2 linked regions of the Nothobranchius furzeri genome follow. The protein of the gene in region 2 purifies or fractionates together with the protein of the main gene of each other region. This does not show direct contact. Links are inferred from orthologs where the notes say so. Each region holds a gene or a part of one and is shown on either strand. Other genes may lie near its edges.

Region 1 (4,046 bases), on a different chromosome or scaffold from region 2:
AAAAAATTGCATTATGAGAGTTCAAATGAAGGCAACTGGACTTCTTTGGTTTCTTGAAGATGTTTCGCTTCTCATCCGATGAACTTTGTCAATTCTAACTGGACTTTCGGAGAGTCAAGCTTATAACCCAACAGACATACCATATGTAGGCCCCCCTTGGATTGGTGCTGTCTTTATGGTGTCTAAAGCTTAGGGCACACCGGAGACAGACGCGCCACATCGCGGCTGCGCTATCATTTTAAATGGAGGCCATTATAGAAGAGGATAGGAAAAATGGTTAAGGGAGCTTCGAATCCTTCTTTCAGTAGGAAAGAACAACCATGAATCTTGCCATGTGGTAAATAGCAGCTACACGGGGGGGGGGGGGGGGGGGGGGGACGTCCGATTTGTAATTGTAATTACAAATTTTTACAAACTCATACGTTTCAAAATTTGACAGGTGTGATCGAAACACACATCTTTACTTTTCATTTAAATTGAAGTGCAACATGTGTGCAATTCAGGGCGTCAGGCAAAGCAGATTAAAAAATAGCTTTTTTAGCCCCATTGACTGAAAATGGAGATTAGTGGTGCGTTCCAGTTGTCGTCAGAACTCGTTTTTCTGAGGTAAGTTAACCGGAAATGACGCATTAAACTCAGAATTCTGAGCTGCGAGCTGGTAGGTTTCAGAGGACCCAAGATCACAAATTTTAAGATGTCCAGTGCTACCAGGAAGTAGTTTTCAGCTTTATTTTTTTCTCATTTATATGTTCTGTTTTTTTTTTTTACAGAACCGAGTAGTTGTTTATTGTTGTTATCAATTGTTATGTCGTTAAAAATTTCAACATTTCTGCCTAAATTGACCGGTGTCACTTTTCCTGGCGTTTCTACATCTTATTTGTAATGTTTTTCAGGTTGTATGTGGCAACTGTCGATGGGGGTGTGTGTCACTATTATTTAGGTGCACAGAATACTTGGTAAGTTCTTTTGTTGAAGTTCTTTTAGTACTCAACAACACTGGTGGTGTCCATTATTTTGTGTTGGAAGCCTGAATGCACGCTGTTACACTCCCCAGAGCCCAATGGGTCATCTAAGTATTCATGTTTATAGTTCCAAGGCCAGAACCTCAGCAGATTAAAAAAAGAACACAACTAAGACCCATCTCACATTTGCCAAAGGCATCATGATCTCCCGGGCTTTTGGCAAAATATTTTGTGGACTGACCAAATGAAATTCAAACTTTATGGAAGGTGTGCAACCCATTAAATCTGGTGTAAAATTAAATGTCAGTGAAAGAGCATCATGGTCAACCATGGTGGTGGTAGTGTGATGTTTAGGGCTTCGCTGCTTCAGCACCTGGACCACTTGCTGCAACGGATGCAAACATGAATTCTATCAGAAAATCTTGAAGGAGTTTGTAGCCTTTGACCTTAAAGCTGCATCAGCTGTTGTCACCAAAGGTGTTATCCCCAATTAAACAGTTTTCACATTAGCCTGGCCTGCCAGACTCATCCTCTGTTTAATTCTACACAGAGAACTTCCCATAAGGAAGCATGCGGCTGGCTGCAGGCTATTTTCACATAGAGCCAGACAATTTCCCCCCACCTTGATGAATTAAATCAGATACTGAAATTAGCAGAGTCTGAAACATCTAAATTTGACCCCAAAAGCAAAGACTGTAGAAATCTGTAAAGAGGTAAATACTTTTTCCCAGCCCCACACATCGTCTATCAAATTAGTCAAAGTAAATCCAGTTTTATTTAGTAACAGGATTGCTGTAAACGTGAGTAAAACTTACAGCACAACAACACACAAGAATAACATCCAAAGCAGCGATTCTGAGCCAAAATATTCACGCTTCATATTGAAGAATGTATATTTTTCATGTTTCCAATGTGCAGGTTGTTTTTACTGCGCCCTGAGGTACAAAGGTTGTGGTTCTTAATGAAAAGTCACGTAATGTCAACCTAAAATGTAGATTTATAAAACACAATCGCTTTGATTGCCATCGCTTTCTCATCAGTAGGCTTCCATACTTTTGTTTATTTGATAGACCAAATTATATCCCTTAGCCAATCAACACTAAATGCCCCCCCCCCCCCCCCCCCCCATGTTTGCAAGAAGTCTTGACAATACATCCCTCCAAAGAGCAACAGGCACAGAGTGTTCAGGAAATATCTGACACATAGTTTGTTGCAGTCTTGCCAAGATCCGAGTACAAGAGGAAGTGAGGATGCCAATATTACTGCAGCTTAAGAGTGGTTGTTTTGCAGTTAATTCTAGCTTTGCATCCTCAGTTAAATGCCCTGTAGCAGGAAATCTTGAGTTTTATTTAGAGATCTCAATAACATATTTGAAATGATGAAGAACTTGCAGCCATCGCTGCTGGTATGGGGTTCATGTCAAATAACATCCTAATTCGCTTGTAAGGAGGACATCATGTGGATGGTATTAAATGAAAGCATCGTGAGGAAAGGCCGCTGTGTTGCAGGTTTTGTAAAGCTAACATCGCCTGCCGTGTCACGTTGTCTCTGATCATCTCGTGAGGATGTAACGGATCAGGATACCCACCGCTTTCCATCTCGCTGCCCTTTCTTGCCGTGGGCGCGTTGCCCATGATGACAACCTGTCAACAGGCAATCCGCGGCGTTCCGGCCGCCCTGCAGCCTCCTCAAGTCGGTCAAATCTCGATCTGGACGGTGTTTTCCTGAATCCAGCAGCAGCACGGAGCGTTCACTCCGAGGTCTTGCTCTTTAGTAGCCTGACAGCTGCTAATGCGGCGCCACGTTAGATAAGCGGGTTCGCTCCCTCCCACGGTCACCCGCAGCCGCTGGCCAGCATCGGATTTAAATCCACGTTGAGCTGGGGCTTCGCCGGAGCTTCAGGGTTGAGCTCGGAGGCAGCTGGCCTGGACACGGAGGATACAGTCTCCACCTGACCCTCCTTGCAGCCCCCGCCGAACGGAGCTCCCCTCCCCGGCTCTCCACCACCTCTCCCAGCCTATAAAAACAACAATACCAGCGGAGAGGGAGCAATGTTCTCAATCGAAAGCGTCTCGCTTGTTGTCAATAAAACCAGCTTAGCAAAATTTTAGCCTCAGCGGGGTCCGACAACGACAGGTATTCACCCAAATCAACATCGGGCCCCCGTAGCCTCGGAGACCAGCGAGATGACGGAACTACAGCGGAGCGAACGTCCCGCCTACTTGCTTAAACCAGCGTTGAATGACAGCTCGTGCTTACGTCGATGATTGGCCACTTTATCAGAGCGGTGACCAACAGTTTACTGTGATTGGCCAACTGCAGCCGTCAATCAACAACAGCAGCTTCCCACCGCCCAACACAACGCGAATGAGGGCAACGTCACAGAATATTTTCCTCCCGACAACGACTCCGCCCACTTTTTGTGATCCGGCCCTTCTATTGGCTAGATACGGACGGACCGTGGGAATCTCAGCGAACACGAGGACGCCCATTGGCTGTCACCAGTGATTGACATAAATACCCTCCTCCTCTACTTCGCTCTTTCCCGCTGCTGAGCGACTGTTACACGTTTGGCTGAGTGACGTCAACCGTGAGTCTATTTTTAGAAATGTTGGTCAGAATTTAACGCACGCGCGGCGCAGTGTGGCAGCAAAGACATCTAAACATTTCGCAGGCTATTCTGTGAGAAATGAACACAAATAAACAAGATTTTAAAAACTGGTGTTTCATCTTCATCACCCCGCAGCAGCTGGACTAGAGAGCAGCGGACCAGGGGTCCTTTTATCATCAGCATCATCAAAAGCTCCGATTCGCAGATTTGCATTAGAATGCCCCTTTGATTTAACGTAAGCTTGTGTTGGTAGGAAAAAATAAATCAAATCTATAAATAGATCTCATAGCATCCTCATCACTTTGACTCTGAAGCCACATTTTTTACAGCACAACCAATTAACCAGCTATATTCTTTTCCACATTTGATCTCAGGTGCTGTAAAACCATGCCAAATGACTGTCAACGTTAGGCAAAAGTGGCAGCTCTTCAAATTAAATAAAGATGCAACAAGCAGATGTTTGGCAATATTTA
Region 2 (4,207 bases):
CGAGACATTTGTTTTACAAACCCCGTTGCTGGCCTCAGCAGCTGCCCGTGCTGGAGTCATGGAGCCACCATTTGGCACTCCCTGGACATCTGCTGCCTCTCGGCACTCAGGGCCTCCCTGCACAAGGCTTCTCGGGTGACAACCGTGCTGCTGTGTTCCTGCGACCGGCTCCTCTAGAGAGCAAAGCTGTCCTCTGACCGCGGGTGAGCTGCCACCGGGTGACACCTTGGTGACACCGAGCACTTCCTGGGTGGCTGCTGAGATGACCTCAGTGATGAGTCCAGCTGCCAGGAGCTCCAGATTCGGCTCTTCTTGAGTGCTGCTCTTGATACGGATGTCCTCTGAGGTCACCAGCATGCTGGTGGGATCCTGGACTGTGAAGGTGAGAGAAGTGGGTGTACTGGTTAGTATCAGTTTGTGTACATCCGCTGACAGACACGTCTCCAGAGAGTCTGCCTCTGATGGGAGGACCCTTGGTGTTTTGGCTAGGGTAAGTGCACAAACAATCTCATCTTGAGTGTTAACAGAGCTCTGATGCATAGCAACTTCACCCTCTGGCTCTGGTCTTTCTGCACCAGAGAGGCGTGTCACAGAGGACGAACGGGTGACTTTGGTAGCACGGTGAGACGTGATGGCGTCCTCGCTCGAGGCCCCCGGAGCCACCTCTGAATGAAACTCCCCGTCTGAAACTATTAAGAAGTCCCTTCCAGGGGGTTTCAACGAACTTCCTGTCACATCTTCCTCATGTGATGGCGAAGTGGGACCTGTGGGTGTAAAGATGTCCTCTGCTATTAGTCTGCCACTCAGTGGGTCAGGATCATCAGAACTTTGAACCAGGGAATGTGCTGCTTCAACATCCTGGGTGTGGATGGGAGAAAGTATTTCATGTGGTGTTCTCTGGTGGTTTAGACTCGGAGGTCCGTAGAAGTCCACTTCACGTGGAGGTGTGGCAGTCCCGTTTTCATCCACGCCGTTTCTACCCTCCAGGTGAGATGTGTCCGCGCTCGGGGGCCCCTCTGAACTTTCATCGCTGATTAGACGCTCTTTCTTACGCGAGGCGTACCACCACCAGCCGATGAGTGCGAGTACACCGGGCAGCGTGTAGGGAACCACGGAGCGGAACCTCAGCAGCATGTTCTCAAGAGATCAGGGGGCACACCTGAAATTAAAAACAGGGACAGATGAGCAGAGAAAGGCGTCACAAAGACTTTCTGGTAACAGAAACCACCTAGGTGGCAAACCTACAGCCAGGTCAGCAAACAGGTCTCCCCGGCGACCCGAGGGACTCGCTGGAGCTCCGTAGCAGAGTCTTAATGCTCAGACATCTGACAGACTAGCCCACATCGTCGGTCTGACTGCTGCTCGTAGAGAAGTGACATTAGCTGATTTTTACATCAGTTATTTCAGGATAAAATCGACTTTAACTGTCTTCCTGACCAACTTTGACTAAACTTTAGCTTCAGAAACTAAAGTACTTCTTGTTTGGAGTATCCCACACCACTCACCTGGGACAGCAGCGTTCACTCTAAGGTGTTAGAAAACATGCAACACGTGTCTGCTGGATTGTGAACTTGGCTAGGAACGTGCACAGCCCTAACACACACCATTACACCCTGAACCCAAGTGAAAGTGACGCACGCTGGTCTTGGACGTCTGCATGACCCTGGGTGGTTCTCACCCGACTGTGGCACAGAGAACCGTTAAGGTCATCGTGCGTGCGTGTGCGTGTGTGTGTGTGTGGAAACACGTCCCTGCCAGGTCCTTTCCTGCGGACTGACACGCAGACTCGCTCTCAGAAGCCACCTCTGTAGGTGCCTTCCTCTCACGTAGGACACAGCCTACATGTATGAGACTCCCAGCAGCGACTTAGCTTCACGGCTAGCTGACGCTAAAGAACAGTCCGTCTGTTTGAACATAATCCTGCTGGCCTCGGGTCGTCTTACTAGATTGACGGAAAACGTGAAGTTTTCAGGAATTTTAGGGACAGCTCGTTAATCCCACCGGGACAGCTGGCTCGTTCACTCACCAGAGGATAAGTTGTATGAAATCTGTCCTCGCGCTTTACTTAATAACGTCAGGCCCTACTAACGAGAGGATCTACGTGACACACGTTGACTAAATATTGGACATTTTTGTTTTGCTTTACCAACTGAGAGCCGGGCTAGGCCGCAGCGGCGCCGTGGAGGACACGTGTGTTGGGTCGAAGCGGGTTAAAGGACGTTCTGCTGCGAGCGGGCCTCAGCCCTGCTGCTAGCTTACTGACCTGCGATGCTAACACCGCAGCCAACGGCGCTGACTGGCCGACAGCCGACACTTCTACTGGGATATAAAAGCTCTGGTGTGCTTGTTACGGTGATCGTTCGCATCCGTGCCCGCTGAGGACACGTACATGCGGCTGCTTGAATGACACCACAGGGGCAGACCTGGCTGCACAGCCCAAAACTGGGCAAAAGTGCTCGTTCAATGACACGATGGCATTGAACGAGCACTTACTTTCAGTGCACACACCTGATACATCCTAAGCGTGCCCAGAAATGTCAATGGTGTGTATTTAGTCGGAGATGAAAGGCTGTCTGCTTAGAGAACGCCAAAAGTCGGTGGCACAAGGGTGCATGCTAGTCTGGGAGATCGCGCTGTTTCATTTACCTTCTTCTGCGCCGCCACGACGACTTCGAGCCAGGAAGGAAAAGCTTTTCAACAAAAGTCCTGTACAAAGTCAAACTCCTCTCTCCACGTGCTGATCGACCCACGCAGGTCTATAAAAACACACAACTACTACTTCTTCATCCTCTTCTTCTTTTAGGTTTTTAACTTAACTCAAAGGTGCGGTGTCGCCCCTGGTGGGCAGAAGTGGGACTTTTTTTAAACAAAGCAACATAAAATAGAAGAAGAAGAAAATATAATTTCTATAGCGCCTCTCAAGATAAAAAATCACGAGGCGCTTCACAAAAACACACAAAAAATGTAAAAGTATAAAAAAGCATTTAGAAAATGTTTAAAAATATATTTAAAATGAGCAAAAATAGGTAATTGGGATTTAAAAGAAAAAATGTTAAGAAAGAGAGAGAGTGAACAGGAAGGAGGGAAACCAGTGGATCCTGAGGAAGGTGGAATAGGTGGAGAGAGCAGAATAAAGAGAGAGGTGAGGAAGGTCATACAAAAGCCAGCTTGAACAAGTGAGTCTTCAGCTGCTTTTTAAAGGAGACCACTGAGTCCACTGATCTCAGGCTCAGGGGGAGAGAGGTCCAGAGTCTGGGGGCCAAAGCAGCAGATGATCTGTCACCTTTGACCTTTAGCCTGGTGCTGCACAACCAGTAGGCTTTGGTCACTGGACCTCAGGGACCTGCTGGGGGTGTAGGGACTAAGAAGATCACCAATGTAAGATGGTGCTTGTCCATGTAAGGCCCTATAGACCAGAACCAGGATCTTGAAATGAACCCTGAAGTTGACTGGCAGCCAGTGAAGCTGGAGGAGAAGCGGGGTGATGTGGGTGTGTTTGGAGGACTTGGTCAGAAGCCGAGCACAGGCATTCTGAACCACCTGTAGACGGTTCAGGGAGGTTCTGCTCAGACACGTGAAAAGAGAGTTACAGTAGTCTAAGCGTGAGGAGATGAAGGTGTGGAGGACTGTCTCAAGTTCAGAGCGGGACAGAATGGGACTCAGCTTAGCAACGTTCCTGAGATGGAAGAAGGAAGAGCCAACAAGAGAACTGACATGAGAATCCAGGGTGAGAGCTGGGTCAAAGGTCACGCCAAGATTCCTGACAGAGGGTTTGGTGTGGGAAGCAAGCTGACCAAGAGAGTCTCTGACTTTGGGAAGCAGCTTGTCTGGGGCACAGATGAGGATCTCAGTCTTATCTTCATTCAGCTGAAGAAAGCTCCCAGCCATCCAGGTTTTGATAGAGTCTAAGCAGGTGTGTAACAGCTGCAGCTTAGACATCTCATGGGGCTTAAAGGAGATGTACAGTTGGATGTCATCTGCATAAAGATGGTAGGAGATTCCTTTGAAGGAGCTCAGGATGTGCTGAAGAGGAAGCAGATAGAGGGGGAAGAGTAGAGGCCCCAGCACAGAACCTTGTGGGACACCATGGGTAAGAGAGGTGGTGGAGGACCTAAACTTGGAGACGGCCACAGAAAAGGAGCGCTCAGAGAGATAAGAGGAGAACCACTCCAGAGCAGATCCTGATAGGCCTACCCAGTCTCTCAGC

Evidence for each region. The genes of interacting proteins can lie anywhere in the genome.
Region 1: the proteins of akap1b (region 2) and prkacab purify together in Homo sapiens (affinity purification with mass spectrometry; 8 studies listed by BioGRID and IntAct, with this or other methods). This does not show direct contact. The link is inferred for Nothobranchius furzeri from reciprocal best matches to the Homo sapiens genes AKAP1 and PRKACA.

The regions. Positions count from the first base shown.
Region 1 is NC_091744.1:6,143,523-6,147,568, forward strand, and holds the start of prkacab (cAMP-dependent protein kinase catalytic subunit alpha), read right to left. Parts: upstream 2,821-4,046; 5' UTR 2,597-2,820; coding exon 2,551-2,596; intron 1-2,550.
Region 2 is NC_091753.1:61,600,062-61,604,268, reverse strand, and holds the start of akap1b (A kinase (PRKA) anchor protein 1b), read right to left. Parts: upstream 2,825-4,207; 5' UTR 2,647-2,824; intron 1,359-2,646; exon of another isoform or gene 1,246-1,358; intron 1,160-1,245; 5' UTR 1,135-1,159; coding exon 1-1,134.